Linked DNA regions of Caenorhabditis elegans. The protein of the gene in region 1 purifies or fractionates together with the protein of each later gene. This does not show direct contact. Each region holds a gene or a part of one and is shown on either strand. Other genes may lie near its edges. The genes, in order: myo-1 and C04F12.8.

What was found.
Region 2: the proteins of myo-1 (region 1) and C04F12.8 fractionate together in Caenorhabditis elegans (co-fractionation; one large-scale study listed by BioGRID). This does not show direct contact.

Annotation. Positions count from the first base shown.
Region 1 is NC_003279.8:7,259,977-7,270,800, forward strand, and holds the start of myo-1 (Myosin-1), read right to left. Parts: upstream 7,082-10,824; 5' UTR 6,960-7,081; coding exon 6,891-6,959; intron 6,311-6,890; coding exon 6,038-6,310; intron 5,661-6,037; coding exon 5,318-5,660; intron 5,266-5,317; coding exon 5,161-5,265; intron 5,109-5,160; coding exon 4,941-5,108; intron 4,894-4,940; coding exon 617-4,893; intron 569-616; coding exon 364-568; intron 315-363; coding exon 79-314; intron 1-78. Other genes in the region: twk-1 (Potassium channel domain-containing protein), read right to left, coding at 9,382-9,486, 9,532-9,639, 10,038-10,676, 10,722-10,824. UniProt on the Caenorhabditis elegans protein: Muscle contraction.
Region 2 is NC_003279.8:9,693,586-9,704,302, forward strand, and holds C04F12.8 (Protein-tyrosine-phosphatase), read right to left. Parts: upstream 5,982-10,717; 5' UTR 5,971-5,981; coding exon 5,814-5,970; intron 5,637-5,813; coding exon 5,542-5,636; intron 5,437-5,541; exon of another isoform or gene 5,416-5,436; intron 4,926-5,415; coding exon 4,567-4,925; intron 4,217-4,566; coding exon 4,009-4,216; 3' UTR 3,652-4,008; downstream 1-3,651. Other genes in the region: C04F12.12 (Retrovirus-related Pol polyprotein from transposon TNT 1-94), read right to left, coding at 1,037-1,450; C04F12.7 (Membrane-associated protein), read right to left, coding at 2,159-2,359, 2,409-2,677, 2,987-3,125.

The DNA.
Region 1 (10,824 bases):
TAATTATGTTAAACATTCCATTCGCTGATAATTCGCTAATATTCGTTGAGGTTTTAGTTATTAATAAAGTATACATACCGCCTCTTCGATTTGTCTCTTTTGGACGCGAATCTTCTGTTGGAGCTTCTCGACGTTCTCTTGAAGTCTATCGAACGCCTTCTTGTCTTCCTCGACTTGGAATTGAAGCTCACGAGCGCGTCTCTCCTGCTTGGTGTAACCCTTGATGGACTCTTGGTGTCTGCGTTGCTCAGAGTGCAACTCGGCTTCCAGGCTACGAACACGATCCTCGACCTTGGCCAATGCTTTGGCACCGACTGAAATATACAATTTTTCGACTTTAGAATACTTTGTTTGGTAACATACATTGGATCATGGCACGTTCAGCATCATCGATCTTAGCCTGAAGTTCCTTGGCGTTGAGCTCGAGGGATTTGCGTTGTCTGTCGACATGGACTGCATGCTCTTGTTCTTGACGGACCTCTTCAGCAAGACGATCCGCATCAGCAGCTGCCTTGCGGGCACGCTCCTCTGAAGCCTTAAGCTCGTTCAAGTACTCGTCCAATTCGTTCTGAAAGTTTTATTTTTTAAAATCTGACAATCCGTTTAATAAACTCACTCTGGCAATCTGAACCTCGTTCTCAACCTTTCTCTTCATGGCAGAAAGAGCAGCATTGTTTCCAATAAGCTCAGTGTTGGAAGACTTGAGTTCAGCCTGTTCGATTTCGAGTTGTTTCTTATGCTTATCAGATGCCTCGATGCGGTGAGCAAGATCCTCGCTTTCAGAAAGAGCAATAGCAAGTCTCTTCTCAGCAGCCAAATAGTTCTCACGGATCTCCTCACGTCTGCGTTGCTCATCATCGACTTGTCCTTGAAGTTCCTTGACTTGGTCGAAAAGTTTCTTCAAGTTCTTCTGGGCGTCAACGTTAGCCTTGTTGGCATGATCCAAAGCAATCTCGAGTTGATTGATGTCAGTCTCAAGCTTCTTCTTGGCTCTGGCGAGCTCGGCCTTGCTCTTAGCTTCGGTTTCGAGGGAAGCTTGGATGGACTCGAGGGCACGTTGATGGTTCTTGCGAGTGTTCTCGAATTCCTCCTCCTTCTCTTGAATTCTCTTCTCGATTTCTGAACGGATCTGTTGAACCTCGATTTGAAGACGGAGAACCTTGCTCTCTTCGGCTTCAAGTGCAGCCTCGGCCTCATCAAGAGCATGTTGAAGCTCGTCCTTTTCTTGTTCGAGACGGCGGACAGACTTGTGAACCTCTTGGTATGTACGTCCTCCTTGGGTGATTTGCTCGTTAATGTCGCGAATCTCTTGCGAAAAGATCTTGTTCTCGCGTCTCAAGGTCTCGATTTGCTCGCTGAGGTTGTCCATGGATGAACGAAGTTTGAAGACTTCAGTCGAGGTATTACGGCTGTCACGAGTAGTGGCATCAATCTCTTTTTGGATATCATCAACCTTTCTCTTCCAGTCATCAACGATCTTGTCGAAAGCACGTTGTTTCTTTTCAAGGGAAGCAATGACAGTCAAGTGACGATCAACATCTGAACGAGCATCTTCGGTTTCGGCAAGAAGTTTTCCCTTGGCCTTCTCGAGAGAGATGACCTTGTTCTGAGCAGCAGAAAGAGCCTCTTGAAGATCCATAACTCTGTTCATCTGCTTTCTCTTGAGCTCTTCCAACTCCTCAGATCCAACCAATCCTTCTCCTTCGTATCTGGCCTTCCATTGAGAAATCTCGGAATTGATACGGGAAAGTTGACGTTGAATGTCGTCTTTTCCGTTGATTTGCTCCTCGAGCAACTCGTGGCATTGATCGAGTTCGTGCTCCAAGTTCTTGCAGGCAGCATGGAACTCTTGACGCTCGTGAAGCTCGTCTTCAGCGGCCTTCTTAGCCTCTACAAGTTGAGAAGAGAATGCAGTCTTGGCACGGTTGATGGTAGCCAAATGAATCTCGAGCTCTTCAACTTGACGAGCAAGATCGGAGTTGTCGTTGGAAAGTCTTCCCTTGGTGGAAGTGTACTCTCCGATTTGTCTCGATTGCTCGTCAACCTTTTGTTGAAGCTCGGCAACTTGGATTTCGTATTGCTTGGCAAGACGTTCCTGTTCAACACGAGACTTGGTCTCTTGATCAACCTGAGCATTGATGTCATCGAGTTCCTTTTGGAGGACTCCCTTCTCCTTCTCGATCTTAGCCTTAGACTTCTGAAGAGCATCCAAGGTGTTGGTCAAGGCAGAAATTTGGTCATTGTTCTTTCTGCGTATCATAGCCATCTGATCTTCGTTGGCCATGTTCTTCTCGTCAAGATCTCTGCGGAACTTGATGATTTCAGAATCCTTCTTCTTGTTGTTGTCTTGTTGGATTTCGAGTTGCTTGTTCTGTTCGTCAAGTCTCTCGTTGAGCTCATCAAGCTCGCGTTGAAGCTCAGCACGAGCACGGTCAGCCTTGGAGCGAGATTGTCTCTCGTGCTCAAGCTCATCTTCGATTTCAATAATGCGTTGAGCATTTTCCTTGGATTGGCGGGTAAGTCTGTTGGCAAGTGCTTGCTCATCCTCAATTCTGACTCCAAGAGCATGGATATCAGCCTCCTTCTTCTTGAGGGAAGCATCAGTTTCAAGCTTGATGGCGGAGAGCTCATCGATAGTTTCTTGAGCTCCCTTGAGTTCACCCTCAACCTTTCTCTTAGATTTCTCAGTTTCAGCTCTGATTCTCTTCTCTCTTTCAACAGCTTCTTCCATTTCGTCCAAAGTTTGCTCGAGCTTTCCACGAAGTCGGTTGGCTTGAGCTTGCTTGGCTTCTTCAGCTTGAAGATCGTCGACAAGTTGACGGTTGTTCTCTTCAAGAAGCTTCTTCTCCTTGTTGATTTTTCCAATAGTCTCATCTTGAGAGTTCATCTCATCTTGAAGGGAATGGATCTGGTTTTCCTTGGCGGCCTTCTCCTCAAGAGATTTAGCCAAGTTTCCATCTACGGCTTCGATCGACTTCTTCAAGTTTTCAACTTCTTGTTGAGCCTTTCTGCGTTGCTTCTCAAGATCAGCGTTCTTCTCTTCATGCTCCGAAAGACGGTCGTTGGCGTCATTCAGAGACTTCTCAACTTCTTGACGAGCACTGTTGAGGCGGGTAAGCTTCTCTTCGATGGCAGCAGATCCTCCTTGGGTAAGCTCGAGAGCTTCCAAAAGTTTTGATCTCTCAGCGGACAGCTTGGCGTAAGCCTCTTCTTGAGATTTTCTGGCAGATTCGGCCTTCTTGGCTTCAGCTTCAAGAACCTTTTGCTCTTCAGCCATCTTGATCATTTCTTCAGCCATCTTTCCGCATTTAAGTTGTGGACGGAGCTTTCCGAACAGCAAGAACCAATCCCAAGTACGGAGGACGCACCAGGAACGGATGTTGCGTTGAAGGATGATGTATGAGTTGAGTTGCTTGCGTCTTGCTCCGGCATCAGCAGTGGCAGTGTACCAACGGATGGCAGATTGGAATCCAGTGATAATCTGGTTAAGCTTGTCATCTCTCAGATCTTCAATGTGGGCAACAACTCCAGCCTTGAAGAAGACTTTAGTGTGTCCAATTCTGAATTGTTCATCATTCAATTGTTTTTGATTGATAAGTGCTTGAAGGATAGCTCCGGCACAAGTCTTCATGTCATCCGATGACTTGGCTTCCTTGGCGGCAAGGATAGCGTAACGTTGGACGAAATCTGGATGTTGAGTTCTGTTGGGGAATCCCTTTCTGCAAATTCTAATTCCTTCCAACACTCCGTTACATGTAAGCTGGTTGAGCACAAGGGCGGCATCAATCATTCCAGATTGTTTCTTCTCGTTAGGAATGATACAACGGATGAAATGTGGATGAGTCTTGTGAAGCATAGTCATGAGCTTGTTGAGAGATTCTCTGTACATCATGGATACAGTCATGAAAGATCCAGACTTTCCTCCCTTGCGACCACCTCCGGCCTTAGCGGCGGCAGCAGCTTCTTCTTGGGTGGTGTAATCTTGCCAGATTTCGACAAGAAGGTCGTTCTTCTTCGAAGCCTTCATGACGGAGACAACGGTGTCGTTGAGAGGATCCTTGTTCTTCTCGAGCCAGTTCAACACGTTGTAACGGACAGTTCCGGCGTAATGCCGCATGGCGAAGTGAGCCTCTCCTTGCTTTCCCTTTGGTGGTTTTGGCTTTTCGAAGTTTGGATGCTTTCCAAGATGTTGATCGGTAAGCTTCTGGGCAAGAGTCATGTCAGTAGCCTTTGGAACAATACACTCCTCATCAAGCATAGAGATGATACCGAGTGGCTTCTCAATAAGCTCGATACAAGCTTGGAGATCAAGTCCGAAATCAATGAATGTCCATTGGATTCCTTCACGGGCGTACTCTTCCTGCTCAAGAACGAACATGTGATGGTTGAAGAATTGTTGGAGTTTTTCGTTGACGAAGTTAATCCAGAGCTGTTCGAAGGAATTGAAGTCGAAGATTTCGAATCCAGCAATATCGAGTACTCCGATGAAATAATCACGATCAATTCCCTTTTGATCAAGAGTAAGATTACATTTCTTGACAAGCCAGTGGAAGACACGAGCGTATAACCCCTTAGCCATGGCTCCAATAGCCCAGTGAACTTGATCAACGTTCTGTCCCTTGGATACCCATTCGGTTCCGACCTTGACTCTTGGAGACACCAAAGCCTTAAGGAATTGATCGACATCAATTCCGTACATGTTACAAGCTCTCTCAGCTTCATCTTGGCCATCTGGCTCGGCTTGCTCCTCACGTGGGCGTTGCTTGAATTTCATGTTACCCATGTGCATGTGAGCCGACATGAGTCTATAACAATCCATCTTCTCGGTGGGCGAGAATTTGAGAACATCAAAGGCCTCGTCGGTCAATTGGAACTCCTCAGTGTCATCGATTCCTGGAATAAAACAAGTTAATCTCATTCTCCAGAAATACAAAACATACCATCAATGAGCAACTCAGCTTGAGCAACAAACCAATAGTTGGAAATTGGATGGTTGAGAAGAAGCTCGTCACGGAGTTGTGGCTTAAAATCTGAGTAGATTTGGTAGAAGATATGGTAACAACGCTCTCCTGGAGCTTGACGGATGACACGAGATTTCTCGAGAAGATCTGAACAATTTACGATTTTCGTAATAACTTCTTATCATTATTATCAACTTACAGTGTTCAATATCGCAGGAAGCAAGAGTTCCGTGCTTGTTGAAGTGAATACGGATGAACTTTCCGAAACGGGAAGAATTGTTGTTACGGACAGTCTTGGCGTTACCTAAACAACCAAATTATCAGACAAGTGTTAATTTTTTAATTTATGTCTGTACCGAAAGCTTCCAATACTGGATTGGTTTGAACGATCTGGTCTTCAAGGGTAACTTCCTTCTCTCCCTCCTTCAAAGCAGCCTTTTGTGAAGCTCCGACGGTGGCAAAGTAGCAAATAACCTTCTTTGTGTTTTCAGTCTTTCCGGCTCCAGATTCTCCGGTAATAAGCATAGACTGATTCTCATGGTCTTGAAGCATGTAACGGTAGGCTTGATCAGAGACAGCGAACAAATGAGGTGGCATCTCGGTACGACGCTTGCCCATGAACATACGAGCAACAGAGTCAGTGTAAATTGGGAGACGTTTGTATGGGTTGATGACAACGCAGAAAAGTCCAGAGTAGGTCTGAAAATGGGCAAATTGGAACATTTTGTTTCAGTCAATATCCCATTTTTATAGAACTTACTTCTTTAAATTTCAGTAGTATTCAAATTTAGTTATTTTTTGGAACGATATTTTTATATTCTCAATACTGCCTTTGTTGAATCACATATTTTTAGTACCATTCCAATTTCAGTCCAAAATTCCAATATAAATTTTCTCTTTACTCACTGTGCACATTGAGCATGACTCTCTTTGTTTCTCATCGTCTGTCTCGATCCACTTAAGATAGCATTTTGCCACTTTTGCGTGGGCGCACTATTTGCCTATCCAACTACGCATTTTCGCAGATCTTTTTTCCGTGTTTCTATTTGAAGTTTTTTGAAACTGAAAAAACTTACATAGATAAGCATAGCAGCGTAACGGGAACGCAAATTCCACAGAACGGAGGCGTCATTAAGGAAAGTCAAGTTGGACATGTCTTCGGTTTTCTCGAACTTTGGTGGATTGACTTCTTGAACGATATCCTTCTTCAAAGTTACATCTTTGCCTCCGGCGGTAACGATAACAGTATCGGCCTTTGGTCCTGGACCCTTAATAACTCCCTCAATGTATCCTTCTTCGGCATCTGGAATCCAGACGTTCTTCTTCGAATCGTATGGGCGGGATTGATCCTGTAAAATAAAAAAAATATAAAAATTAATTTATATTCATACATAGTTATAAAATAATTATTATCCTAAATATCAAAACGGTGAAGTTTAGAAGCTTTAAAAATAACGATCTACCGAAAAACCGGTAAGAATTTTAAGAGATTGAACCTTGAAAATATGTTTAAAAAAGTAGCCAAGAAACAATTTTTAATATTTTGCTGTAAAAATGCTCACTTAACCACTTTAAAATAACTCTATTGTAATTGAAAAAGTTTCATTTTAAAGTTTATCAGAACATATTCAACAAGTAAAATAAAGATTGAATCTTGTTCTAGTTGGAAAATTAAATTGAATTGTTTCTATACTCAAAATAGATGAAATATTATTTGTCGAGAGAAGGACAAATTGGGAAAATACGGTATTTTATTAGGTTCAAAACTGAAGGAACAATTCGTTATTAGAAGTGTATAAAAAGCAGCGACTTCAGATAAATTTCGAATATTTTGGAATTTGAGAAGATTAGGATTTATGAGGAGAAAAAATACGTCGAATGTAAACCTAGGAAAAAGTAGAAAGTAAAATGAAAGAAGTAAAATCTTACCGCGAGCTGTTGCTCTCTCGACCTTTTCAGGTACTGCCATCCTGGGTCCTTCTCGTGTTCGAGCGACATTCTTGATTTGTTTCAGTGGAAATTAAAACGAACGGCTAATTGAAAAATGAGGCTAAACAGGTGGGTGACTTCTTCTTTTTCTTCCTACTGCTGCACTGCACACAGCTCCACACTACTGTGCTCTGCAGGGACGGATAATAGTTTGGCACACACAAGAGAGAGCTTCACTCGGCACACTTCATAGGGCGGAGCAACTCAAACTCCCCCTCATCTTCCTCTCTTGCTTAGCGCCCGTGCGCAAGAAAGGGGGCTCTCCGATATCCACACAATGAACTGTTGCCGAGAGCATCAAACGTCTCTTGGATGTGCATTGTCCATACGTTTTGAGCTTTTGCGTCGCCAGTCCAAGTACTTTATCTTTCAGGTTCATCGAAAGAGTATGTTAAATTGAGAAACGAAGAGATTACTGTAGAACTTGTTGAAAAAATCAGAGGAGGGGGTTCTTTCGGAATGAGCCCGCGCTTTTTTGAGCACACATTATTATTGGATAGAGACATACGTAAGAGATTTTTGAGAGTAAGCGCTTGGAACTTGTGGGAGTAGATAAAAAAATGTAGAAAAAAAATTAAGGGATTCATTCTTAGTTTACTTATATTTGTATAAAAAATTGGAATCAGTGATTTCAGTAACCTGGACCAGCAAACTGGTCTTATTTTATTATTAGAAACAACACTATTAGAACATTAATGAATACTGTGTAAGAAATCCGAATAATAATAATAGATCTAAATCGGATTTGGACACAATTATTTAGAAAAATTTTAAAAAAAGCGACGTTTTGAGTTTAAAAAAATATTTTTGCTTCCATCGTGTTCTTTGAAGTACATTCAAAGTTGGATGCTTTGTCGTTGAAAACATTTGTCTACATTAAAATTCAGAAATCCATCAAAAAATTTAACATGAGAAAATGTTATATAGAAACTGTGCTGCCAAATAATATTCAATATAGTGTACCTTAATACCTCAAGCAATTTTATAAGTATTTATTTTTTTTGTCAAACCATGATATTCAACCTTAACGTTTTCATTTAAAAATCACTATTTTGTATTCGCATAGTTCATTCGCGATGTGCGCATACTCATTTCGATTGAGGACCGGTACGATATGTGTTTCACGAAAACGAGCATCCGCAATGCACTCACTGCGAGGCGCGTTTGGCACATTGTGGCCGACTTCGTTGGGGATGTGTGCCACAATATCACTGCTGCGAAGATCTCTCTGGACATATTATGTGCTGATCAGATATTAGTCTCCCAGCTAGGAATTAACTTTTCAGATTATTAGTTATAGATTGTTTGAGAAACCTGTTTTTTTAACTGTTGCAAATAACGTTTTTTTTGTAGCTTAACCTAACTTTCATATCCATTCTCTCCAAAAATGTGTTGTAATAATGATGAGAGACCAAGTGGCATTGGTGAAGGAAGTTTCACCGAATCTCTCGACTTTTTTGTGCCATGTCTTTGCTCCCCCATCCCACACTCGGATACTTCTGCGCATCCTCCGCTCGCCTTTTCTTCGAATTTTTCTCGTTTTTCTAATAGTAATATTTGCCCAATTTCTCCCCCATCTATATCTCTCACACAGTATTTGTATGTGTGTGCGTAAATGTGTGTGTGTCTGTTTCTTTTTGAGATTTTCGCTCCTCTTATTCATCTTTGTTCTCGGGGCCACCCCCTGAAATTCAAAGTGAACACGGGAACACCGATCAAGTATGTACATCGACCAAGAATTGAAATCATTTTCTCCTAGTTAACAGTCTGGAAACACGAAAAGTTGAATTAGTTTGTTTCTCAGCAAATTGAAATAAAAAATTAAAGTTTCTAAAAACTTTTAAGAAGACTCTCGAAATTTCTAAGATTTCTGTGACATGTACCATTCTTTTTCCTTGTAAGTATTGCTGATCTACTAGAAAATGTTGTTTCAGAATTTTTTCTTAAAAAATTCAAAGGATAAGTTAATTAAAAAATTACAATAAATATATATGCAAAAAGGATTCTGATGGCAAAAATATTCCCAACATTTTCGATATTTTTTAAAGAATAATGAAATTAGTTAGTTTAAGACCTTTTTGAGTCTATTCCCACTTTAACCTTTACCAGAGAATGCCACTGTTTAATGACTGCGCTCAATATGCTGTCAATTTACTATTTTCTACTACATACAGTTATCAACCTATTAATAAAATGACTTTATGTTCTCAAGTTTGTTTCCAAATACTGAAACGAAAAATTAAGCTCGTAGTCAGCTGGGGAAAAATGTTTCATTTATTTCCATAGAAATAATACAATCAGAACAATGAGTTTCTTTCGTTAAAAAATTACGTATTAAAGCCACTTGTTTTGACCAGGTGAATTGACAAAGTAACACATTATTGATATCCGTTTCTTTTTTTGTTTCGAAAAATCTAAAATTGCAGAATATCTACACATCTTGTTGCAGTAAAAGTCGACCATCACTGTGTACCCGATGAGCTTTCTTCCGTAAATCAAGTGATGTAATTGCTTCTTTTGACTCAATATTGCTGTCCTAAACATATGAAATATCACTTAGAAGCAATTTCAGTTAACTTACAGAGGCCGGTTTAGAAAATGGAATCTTTGGATGATGGTGGTGACCGTGTATTCCTCGAACTGATGGTTTCCTCAAATGATGTTGAATAGTGCCGAGGGCAAGAATTGCCTGAAATAAATTGAAAATTAAAATTATATATTTTTATCTAAAGGAGCGTATGGTAGACTTAAAAATGCTCCTATGGCCAAAAAAAAAAGTAAACGACGAAAAATAAAATAGGAAGGACGCTAAAAAGTAAGTTCGGGATATATAGCCGCGGATAAAGAACTTTCCAAGCAAATTTCCGAAACATTTAATGAGTTTCTATTTTTAAAGTAATTAAATTAAAGTTTGAAGTAAAGTAGATATCACCATGAGGGAACATTTTGATTCAAAGGAAATGGTGCAACTGGAAATTCAGTCGGGAATTTCTGTCTCCTCAAATAAATATTCCAATTTGGACGGAATTTTTTTTAAAGAAAACTCTGTTTTTCTGAATTTCCCGTAATATTTCCGTTATCACCTACCAACTCAGTATCCTTCGGAATACTTCTCTGATTAGTACTTGTGAAGGAATGAATCGTTGCCTGACAATCATCTCCATCGGAAGATCCTGATAAGAAAACTGTCTTCTTTCTTGGAGCAGGAGGAGATAAAGCTTCCGAATTATTAACTGATCTCCAATCTTCTTCATCGTCATCTTCCTCTGCTTGTTTGCATGCAACTTCCAATATCTTATCAAGATCATGTAATACTTCCCTCAGTTTTTCCGGCGTTGATCCAAACTTTTCAGCCACCAAAGTGACCAAATCCTTGACAGTCATCATTTGCCCTCCAAACCAAATTTCAGCTTCTTCTGAATCTGAAACCTTTCTTCCATAGTAATGAATCCACATGATTCCTTTTTGAAGACTTGCAAAAAATAGAAGCATTGTAGCAACTCCAGTGCAAAGGTATACAGTTACAATTATATATTGAAAAAGTCCTTCTGGAGTTGGGGAGTAATCTCCATATCCAATAGTTGTAATCGAAATGAAACTAAAATAGAATGCATCTAGAAAGTCAAGTTGATCGATCCACAGTGAGAATATGAGAGCTCCAATAAAACAATGAGCGGCTAGAAGAATTGCAGAGGTATACCATCGAAATCCGGAGTTCTCCACGTTCTGAAAATTACTGTTAAACATCTGAAATTCAAATATAAAGATTACCTGTGAGCTATAACTTCTGTGTACAATATTACAAATATCTACAACAAGTACACTATTCGTTGCAACAGTCATGAAGAACAATGGTATTCCAGCCACACAATAT
Region 2 (10,717 bases), 2.4 Mb from region 1:
GCGACTTGCTTAGTTGAGAAAAACAATCGCGTACACAACCTTTGTAGGTATGTGCCATGTTTGTGCTTCAGTACAATACTAGAACACTAATCAGTTCAAAACTCACTTTTCCTCCACATCCAGGCAATACTTTTGCTGCAAGAGATCCGGCCGTTGCCAAGTTCAAAGCAATTCCAATGATATCTTGAACGTCCATTGATAGCGTCGATAGTCGCAAACTTGCAGTTGACAAGCTCTTTATTGAGTGTTCAAATCAGGAAATGAATATTATCACACTTGAACGACGAATCGAAAAGTGGACAATGTTGGGAATAAATTCTTTTTTGAAGAAAACTGGTAAAAATATTCAAAAAGATCTTTTGAAAAGATAAGGTTTTTTGTGAAACGTGTAATAATAATATTTTTTGTTTAAATGATTCGCGTATTTTCCCTATTAGTATTACAGTCAAGTCTATTTTTCGATTTGTCATTTTGAGAGAAATTCTAATAGGAAGTGCAAGTCATTAAGACTTATTGAGTCCAATTGTCCAATTTCCATTGTCCAATTTAACTTAAATTACTTACATTACCCGTTATTTTGGGAAAAAAATTCTGAGAAATAATTAAGAAAATAACAGAACACACCTATAATAGTACTAAATTCTCAATAAATTCATAGAAACGCCGAAAAGAAATTAAAAATCTGAAACAAATCATTTAATAGATTGTGTAATTAACTTCGGTTATTTAACACTTTCTGTACATTTTTGTCTGGTTTCATCGTTATATTTCTAACTGCTTCGGGTGTATTATGCGAGCGCAAGTAGAGTCTTTGTAGAATGCTCAAAGGCATGAATAGCTGATTATTTATTCAACCATCATATTGAATAATCTTCGAATCTCTTTTGTAAGATATTTACCAATCATCAGAATTATAATCACGACAACATTTAAAAATTCAATAAAGTTAAAAATTCTTATTCAAACTGGAAGACAGATTTCTTTTCAAAACTTTATTTCAAAAATTTCACTTTTCAAAAATTCATTTTATTTCAAATCACATATAGACATAATCAGATGGTTCACTGGTATGATAGTCGTTGGTGTAGATGTTTGGACTCTGTGCAGCATATTGATGATGAGAAGAGACAACGTCATTCGTGTTCCATGCATAGTGGGACGAATCAGTTTTTGGCGGTGCAAAGTATTGCTGATTGTCCATAACTGAGTTATTCATTGCCAGCTGATTTGGATTTTCAAGCTCCACTGGCTTCTCGGTGCAATAGTCCGAAACCACCTGATTGCTTTGCTCAAACGCGAGTTGAGAATCAATGATACGGGCAATTGCATCGCTGTTCAGTGGGACATCGGCAATGAATTGTGCCTCGAACACGTCACTCTCCGTTGCTGGAAGAACGTCGGCGTCGCTCTCCAAACTAGCATCCATGTAGAAGCTCTTGACGTATGCCATCTTGAGTGAGCTGCAAAAATACTTATTCCTTCATGTTACCTATCGAGGGCGACATCGGGGACATCCGAAATCCAAAAAACTGGATGTCCGCCAGTTCTAAATAAAAACTGAACCACTGCGAATGATGCGAATCGAAATGTGTTCCAAGTGTTGGACTAAAACCGAAATAATTTAATTTTCGATTTCGTTTCGTGGAGGGGGATTTTTTGCCAGATTAGTTTTATTGATAAGAAATTGGAATATATCACGTATATATCAGAATTACAATTTTCGATTTTTTTATTTCAACACCATCATAACTCCACCGTTAAAAACCAAAGTTACTTTTCAAACTGAAATTTAATGTAAATTACGAGAAAAATTGTCTGAAAATGTTTTAAGCTACTTTTCTCAATTCGTCGACTACTATTTCACAATTGTACATTAACTTTATCTCAAGCTTTTAAAACTTTAAAAAGTTATGTTTCTAAGTCAATAGATTATCCAGAAAATTAGTTTTTTCAAGAACTAAAGATTCAGTTTTGGGAAAAAGGGCAATTGAAAATGCTGGTGTGCTGGTTGCAACTTTCAAAATAATTTTCAATTTATCGACTGTTATGTGCAGTCAAGGAGGGAGTATCAAGAAAGTTGTTGCTGAGATCCCGTTTATTAAAATGTATATTCTTGCTACTCGGAGGGTTAATGAAATATTTATTAAATCAATTAAAATCACACAAAGATATCAGCTTGTCCCATTTTTCTTCTTGGTGTCTCCAAACAATCTTCTTCTTTCTCCGATTCAATTGACTTTCTACTGATTAATTGTGGCATTGAGTTGTCAAATGAACGACTTGTTGCCATAACTCTCTTATCCGAAATTTTGACGACGACTGTAGTGAGACGAATGAAGACGGCCATACTGGCAAGAGCCTGAACAATTTTCAGATAAAACTAATTAGATTAAATCTAAGAAACTTACAGTAGCAATCATTGAAATCACTGCACACACCAGAGTAACTCCATTAACAGCATGACAGATATCCGAATTAAGTGTTCCAGTTGAGGGAGTTTTCAGATATTGACATGGAGAATCGAATGATTTAATGAAGAGTGCAATTGTATGTGCAAGATGGAAAGCTGAGAATACAAATGCATGCATCATGAAGAGAAGAGTGAAGACACCAAATGCACGACGAGTTGAGCAGAGTCCAATGAGTGACATGAGTGCCAATGCGGTCATCAACATATCTGAAACATTCTATATTTCTAGGGTCGATATGTTCGAGATTAATTCTCGATGTACAGATAAAACCAATGTCATTTGGAAGTTGTTCTCAGGTTTTTTTTGTTGTCAGGTTTTTTTTTGTTGTCAGGTTTTTTTTTTTTTTTTTTTTTTTTTTTTTTTTTCAAAAGAACATGAAACAACTTCAGATTGACATAGTTCAAAGTGATCATTTGACCATGAACTTTTGTATGTTTCAAAGGTCTTCTTTGAAACTACATCAAGTTCAAGCTCAGTGCACTTTTCCTGTATCTGAAACAAAATGCAAAACTAACCTTTAGTATCCAGAGCAGTCTCATCGAGTACCGTTTTTGATCCGGCAACTTTGTATGCAGTTGAGTAGAGACCACTGACTAGGAAGATGACAGTGATGACAGCACAAAGTGGTGCTTCAATTGACGATAAGCATCCCATTTTGTTGAAGGTTAGTAGATTGAAGACGAGAAGTTAGTTAGTATCGAGTACTGATTGATTTGTGAAGAAACTGAGCATTTATTACGACGTGTCAAATAAATAGAGTAGGGCATCGCGTTGAGGTAGGAAAGTTCGTTTTTCATGAAAATTTGACGTGAAATTGTTTAGAATTTTAAATTTAATACAAAATCTTTACGCAATTTCACGGAGAAAAGTTTTCTGAACATTGCACTTCCATGTAAAACTGTGTCGTTTAAAATAATTCAATTAAAATAGGTAGAATTTTCAGCAGCAGATGTGCACTTTCAGAGTTGATCTGAATTTTTTCTCTGACGTTGAAAAAAGTTATGCAAGGCACTTTCTATAAGCTTGTTCGACCTCTGGGCGACCCTCGTCCTGTGCCTAGTTGACACTATGTACCTACAAACAGAAAGTGGGCAGTAGACAGGCCCTTACTCCTGAAGACGTGATTAAAATCCAAAACCAAACAGGTGAAAGAAATTTAATTATTAATTTCAATAATTTATCTGAAATTCAGAACAACAACCAAAAAGATTTTAAAATGTTTATCGGAATGATATACACAGAAAAACTTTGGATTTGTGTGTGACAATAAGCGACAAAGGAAAAATGGGAAAATATGTTGATTGTTGTGTGTTTTTGTGGGGAAAAATCAACCCGTTACCACTTTTTTTCGCGTTTAGAAAAGTTTAAAAAAAGTTAAGAATTTCAAATTAAAAAAATAAAATACAATTTTAATAAAAATTTGAGTGCGGAACTACATCGAAATTAGAAGAAAGCTTTTTGATTTTTGATAGTAGATAAGTATTGAAATTTTGGTCAAAATATGATACAAAACAAGAGACACAGTAGAACATTATTGTTAAAATGCCGAGAAAAAGTTGTGACGTGGCGAAGTTGAGTACATTGAGAATAGACTTTGACGTGGTTTTCTTGTTGGAGCAGGAGAAAAGAGACTGTATGAAGTGGTAAGAGCAAGACTTGAAGCCGGAAGTGATGATGGACTGTATGCTCGACGAAGTGATGATGTGGCAAGGGATGAGGCAGATGATACGGATGGACGGTATGTACTGGAATATTCAAGTTAATTATAGTAAGAACCCTCGCCGCGAGAAACATTTACGGTAGCATTCCTCATATCTCTTTCATTTTTAAACGTACTAGTACTGAGAAAAATACCGAAAAGTTTAGCGAAACTCATGAAAAATCGTTTAAAGAAACGAAGAAATTTGTTACGATATCCCTTTATTGAATTTCCGATTTGCAAACCTTCATTTTTCAATTAGTCAGGTTTTAGTTGTTCACTTTCTTGAAACTCGATCTTTCTAAAACTTCAAAAAAACTTTTAAAAATCGGTAAATCGAAAATTTGGAAATTTTATAAAAATTTAATAGCAGCAAACGTTTGAGAACTGTCTCACCTTGCTGAAAAAGCTCTCTGCTTGCTCGCGGAGCTCTGTGCAGAAGGCAATGAATGCCTACTGATCTCCCTATTAATCTGCATTCTTCTTATATCATCTGCATAAACATCTGGAATTGGCATATCACATTCCGGTGTCTGAACCATTTTAACTGATGCTGTTCCTCTCAATCGTTTCTCATAATCAACCATTTGTTTCCAGAATCCAACATTTGGACGAATAATTGGTCGAGCTGCTTTGACGTAGTGATATGCTTGTCGGAGAGTCATATGTTCGTGTTTTACCAAATAAATCATTACCAATGAAGCTGATCTTGATACTCCAGCCATGCAATGTACAAGTGTTTTTCCGCCTCGTTCCTGAAAAATTGGATTTGAAAAAACTGTACAATTTCAAAACAAACAAGAAATTTTAAAGAACTGACTTTAAAATTTATGTCTTAAATACATTTGAACTGAGATTATAGGCGCCCGGCGGGAGGCCGCCTATAACCTCGCTCCGTTTTTTAGAGTACATGTGGATCCCTGTGTGATTTGAGCCAAGCCTGAAGGCAGGTGTGCAGACATTTGTTGCCTACATAGAAGCCTAGTCTTAAAAAAAGAACAAATTGTCTTCCATAACTTCTAACAAAATATGTAATTCCCTTATATTTTCAGATTTTAAAACTCTCATAACATTTCTGCCATGACCCTTATCCGTTCTAAAGTTCACTCCAGTCAGTAACACTTTCCATTTCTTCTCTTCACTCGTAAAAATGTCCATTCCGCCTACACTCATAAATTCAGTTAAGAACGGCCGTCGAGAGTACAAACAACTGGTTTTTACTTTTTTTTTCTCTTTTGTGTCTTCGTTCCTTCTCTTTAAATCGTAATGTCCACACGATGAACAGAAGTTATGAAACATTTAAATGAAACATAATTTTGAAAACATTTCAAAAACTCTAGGAAGTTGAAGATTTTAAACACTAAAATATACCTTAACATTACGGATTTTGTCAGCAACAACATCAAAATGCTCACTGAGCCTTGCATATGGATGATCTTCAATTCGAATTTTCATTGTGTCAACTCCTGAAATAGGTATAAGTTTATCAAAATTGATTCTAAAAAGGTAGTTTATAGTTTTTCCGGGGCAAGAGTATCGCCGAAATTTTTTTTTTTTTTGATTTTTCCGTATTTTTGTGGAAAATCGAAAAATGGCTGGTGGATTGGGGTGTTTTCTCTTTTTTAAGGAAAATTCGAACGAACCTTGCATATACGTGGATGGCTCTTCAGTGGTTGCATTTACAATCATATTAATTTTTCTTTGTTTAATTTTATCTGGCTTCAAAACTCCGGCACCCGAAAGATACAGATGATCATTAATTTCAGACATTTGTCCGAGAACACCAACATTCCTCGACATATTTCTGAAAAACATTTTAAAGTTAAATATATCTAAAATATAAGAGTTTTAGAAAAAGGAGAGGCAGTTTAAAAGGACAAAAGAATACATTACATGGTAGTTAGACTTCCTTTGAAAAAATGAATTTTTGGGAAAAATTTGCAAAATTGGTACAAAACCGGATTTTTCGACAAACTTCAAAGGTAAATGGCGGTCACAAGGTAAAGAGATATAGAGAGAAAAATTTTTAAAAAAAGTTAGTAACTGTTTCCCCCGGCGGCAAAGAATTTGGGCAATGAAAAAGGAAATTAGTGGAGGAAAAGAGAGATGGCATTTGCAAAAACATTTTGTCTCTTGTTTCGAGAAATGGTTTTTGATGATTTATGTATTAAGATGGGTTAGAAACAGTAACAATATTTTGTAATTCGACATTTTTTTGCGGTTTCTGAGGAATCAAAGATAATCTGTCTTTTTTAGACACACCTGCTTTCTTATTTATATCGCAAAATTTCTTGTGGACGAAACTGGAAGAGAATGTTTTTTGAATATAAAAAACACCGATTTGAGTTCTAACGGAAGAAAAAATAAATAAACTGAGCTCTTGCTGGACTTTTGCGAAATGTTCAAAATGTAACTCATCATTTTCCGAACAAAAACGCATCTGGTTCTCGTGACACAAAATGAGCCCACTCATTTCCTGAATTCTTACCCTGTTATTACATTTGATAAATGCGGTCATTTTTCTCTTGAACTTTTTTCGATCAGTTTGGAATTGGAAAACGGGCATTTCTCCAGTAATGACTCAAAAAATCAAGTTAACTATAAAGAGATGATACATGAGATTTGAAATTTTAATATGTGAAACTATGTTCGTTAATATTATATAATATTCAAGTCGTTTTCATGAAATTTTCACAATATGGAAACATTTAATCTTTAAAAAAACAATCTGAAAGCTTTGAAAATTTCTATTTTAAGAAACGATTTCATTTTTTGACCCAATGAAGTAAATAAAAATTCTAAAAACTTCAAAATTTAAACGCTCAAAACAATTTTGACTATTTCAACAAGTTCACCAAACCTCCAAAATTATCAAAATTTTATGAATCTGTGAAAAATAAGCTGAAAAATTTTTGGAATAAAAATTGTAATCCCCAAAAGAGTTTCTCTAGAAGAATCTAGACTATCTTCAGAGAATGTACCTAAGAAACCTATCCATATCACTTATTCAAGTGGAAAAGAAAGTAAAGATTTGTGTGTCAAACGGTAGTTGGCAACCCAAACATTGATCATCACCTGGTTCTCGACCCTTTGTTTCTCCCTTTCCTTGACTTTTCCTAATATTTGCTCACAAAGAACTAGTGGGAGGAGAAGGTGACTTGTTTGTTGGAAGTGAATGACGTGGCGAAAGGAGGAACAATGCGTTCCTGTGGGAGTGAGAGGGTATCGTTTCAGCCAAAACGATACGATTAAAAAGTAAAAGTTCAGAGGGTGAGAAGAAGAGGAATCAAGAGAGAATGCAGATGACTAGATATAGAAGTTCTCAGTTTTCTCGCTTTAAATCACCTGAAGCTTATGGAACTTCAGAGTTAGCTTTGTGACGGTGTGAGTGAAACCATTTTCAAAGTTGTGAGATGTTTACAGTTATAAAATTGTGCGAAAAACTTTACGTTTTAGTTTCCGAAAATATTACAAAATTTCAGAAATCGGCGAGTGCCAAAATGCTTCCAGAAATCAATCTGCAGAAATTTTTTATTTCAAGTTGGAAATTGATAAATGTTCAGTTTTGGCGAAATTCCCATTTGAATGCCCAATTGCATTGCCTTTCTTAGTAAATTATTTCTAGTTTTATCATTGACTTATGTTTTTCTTATATTTTCTGATCTGTATAAGTGAGGGAATTTAATTATAATTTTCCAAAAATTTAGTTATTTCCATTTTTATATTTACTTTTTTTAAAATTTTCACAGTAGGAAGTGGGTTAAAACTTGCCGAAATTATCACATCAGCCTGCTGCACAGTAACTTAGCAAAAACATATAATTTCAAATTCTGTGTTCGTAAAATTTGAGAAAAATAAACCAAAATCGTCCAAAATAACAAATGACTTCTTTTATAAAAACAATTGATGAAACCATTTCCACAGTAAGCATAAACAAGATGTTTCTAGAAACGTCTTAGAGAAACTTTCAAATCAAAAGTGAAAGTGAAGGTAAGAGTTTGAAAATTGTGGTTGTTTTGGGGAAAATGGTTAAAGAATGAAACTTGTTTCTCAAAACAAACGAGTCTTAACTACTCTTACTGATCTTTGACGATGGCACAAAATTGTGGAGGAAGTATCATCTCCCCGAGTACGCATGTACCCGTAGGACAAAGGTGTAATCTTCTTGCTCAGAATGTGAAATAGTGTTGAGAATAAAGAGATTTAGAGAAAGAAACGAAATTGATACAACTAGAAAAAGCTTGAGGGAGGGTGATAATGGATGAAAAGTAGTGTAGGTTGAGAGAAATGTAGACAAAAAGACATGGGAAGATAAAAATAGAAGAAGATGATATTCAAGATTTCCAAGAATTTTAAACAACCCTCTGCATATGAAAAAGAGGTGATTACCTATTACTTTGGCATGACCATACTTTCTCAATTTGTTTACAGGGGTGTGCGTCATCTTCAAATTTACAAAACTGCTCGTTTCGGTATAATAACCCAATTTTCAAATTAATTATAAACATAGGTTTATTTATACAAAATATATTTTGGTAATTCGAGAATAAAATTTATTTTTATTGAGAATTTCTCGGTAGATCTGAGTTGAAAGTCTTTATTTGTCAATTGCAACCTACAGCCAATTTCGAGCACACTTTCCACACTTTTAAATGGAATTAAATTTCATTTTAAAAATTTGCATTTTTTTTATTTCAATGTGAAATTTTTTGGTGAATTTTTCAAAATAAATTTTGATGCTTGTAGACTTTTTTTCAATGCAGACTTTTTATAATAAACTGTCAAAGATCTTAAATGTATTCATAGGATTAAACAAACATTGGTCAAGGTTTTTGGAAGTTTTTGTTTTTTTGAAAAAATGCTACCAGATTAATTTGTTTTCAAAGCTCAAACATTTTTATGCTCTCTGGTTTCTTCTAACCATTTAATTTTCACAAATACCGAAAGTTAAAAAAAACCGCCTGCGAAGAACTAAAAACAACTAACGACTAAAGAATAAAAAGCAAATCAAAGGAGAATCAGCAATCACAATAATAACAGAAAGAGTTGTCCAAATAGAAAAGAGCAGCAAATATTTTCGTGTTCGACCTTTTTTTTGAGAGACAAACAAATCGAGTGGTTGAGGTGGGAAAATGACAATTTCTGGGCCACTTTTTAGAAGTTTTTAGATTTCAAATGACACTGGATCGTTGATCAGCTCAAAAAAGACGCAGACTTTCAAAGATTGTATCTAGAAATCAGCTGAAATTGGGAGGAGGATGAGAAATAAAGATGTTACACAATAATCGAGGTCTCTCTTGATAACTTTTCCGATTTGTGTAAGTTAGAAGATTGTGTTAGTGATATATCTATCATTTATCACTTTAACATTACACAACTGCCTCCCTTGACAACAGAAAACCGGAAATGATGTAGGTTTTCAGATTAAGATGATATACTTTTTCCAGAGCTGATATTGCTTGCCACCTTTTTTTGGAATTATTTTTATCATGATATCAAATGGTTCTGAGCAATACTCGTTCAAAAGTTATATGCAAAAACAAGTGCAAGATATAGAGGCTCCCATAAACTTGCAACAAAATAAAATAAGAGAATATATATGAGTGATAACAATAGGAAAATGAAAAACAAGTTATATGGGAAAAGAAGGTGAGAAAACACGAACAAGAAGAATGAGAAGAAGTTGTTGATCAGACGCTGAAAAATGTCCTTCCTGCTGTCGGTGAGCAGTCGTCACTACTTATTCACAAAATGAACAAAGAGAGCACAATTCAGACGGGACGAGAAGATGAAAATAGAATGAAGAAAGGCGTCGAAGCGGTAACAAGTGAATGAAGTTTCTTGTCTCTTAATTTTTACTTTTTCACAACTTTTTCTAGTCCAATGATAACTGAATGAACAATTGAAGGGGTTTTAGCTGTCACAAAAAAGAAAATTATTCTAAACCTGCAAATTCAAAATCGAGAGCCATGTATTACATATCCACGTTAAAGCTCTCTAGGCTCAAGAGATTAGGATTTTATTTCCGAATTTGGATTAGATGGAAAGCCGAAAAGGAAATATTGGCAAGATTAGAGGAGAGAAAAATAAAATTTTCTTGATGAGCTGACTCCAAGATAAGAATTGCTCATGGAAGATGGATTACGAAAAATATAAGATGGAACGGAAATCAATTAATGATGCAGAGGATCTTCTTTTGGGCAGATTTAAGAGAGGAGAGGTAAAACTTTCAAGAAATCAGAAATCAAGAGTTTTCAGTTTCCAAGATCAGGTATTGATTGCAGGTGGGGTGTGAGCAACCTAAGTTGGAGCATTGGGGTGCAGCACAAATATTCTGAAGAAAAACAATACATTTAGAAAAAGTGGACCGTATGCTGAAAAATTATTACGCGAAAATTTTTAAAAGAGCACAAAATTGAATTCACAAGAGGCATATGTTGTTCCGATTTTTCATTCTATTCTTTAAATGAGATTTTTTCATTCCGCTGCAAAATGGTGAATCATAAGAATCTCCGCTTACCGTTCACTTGTTATTGACAGAAAGATA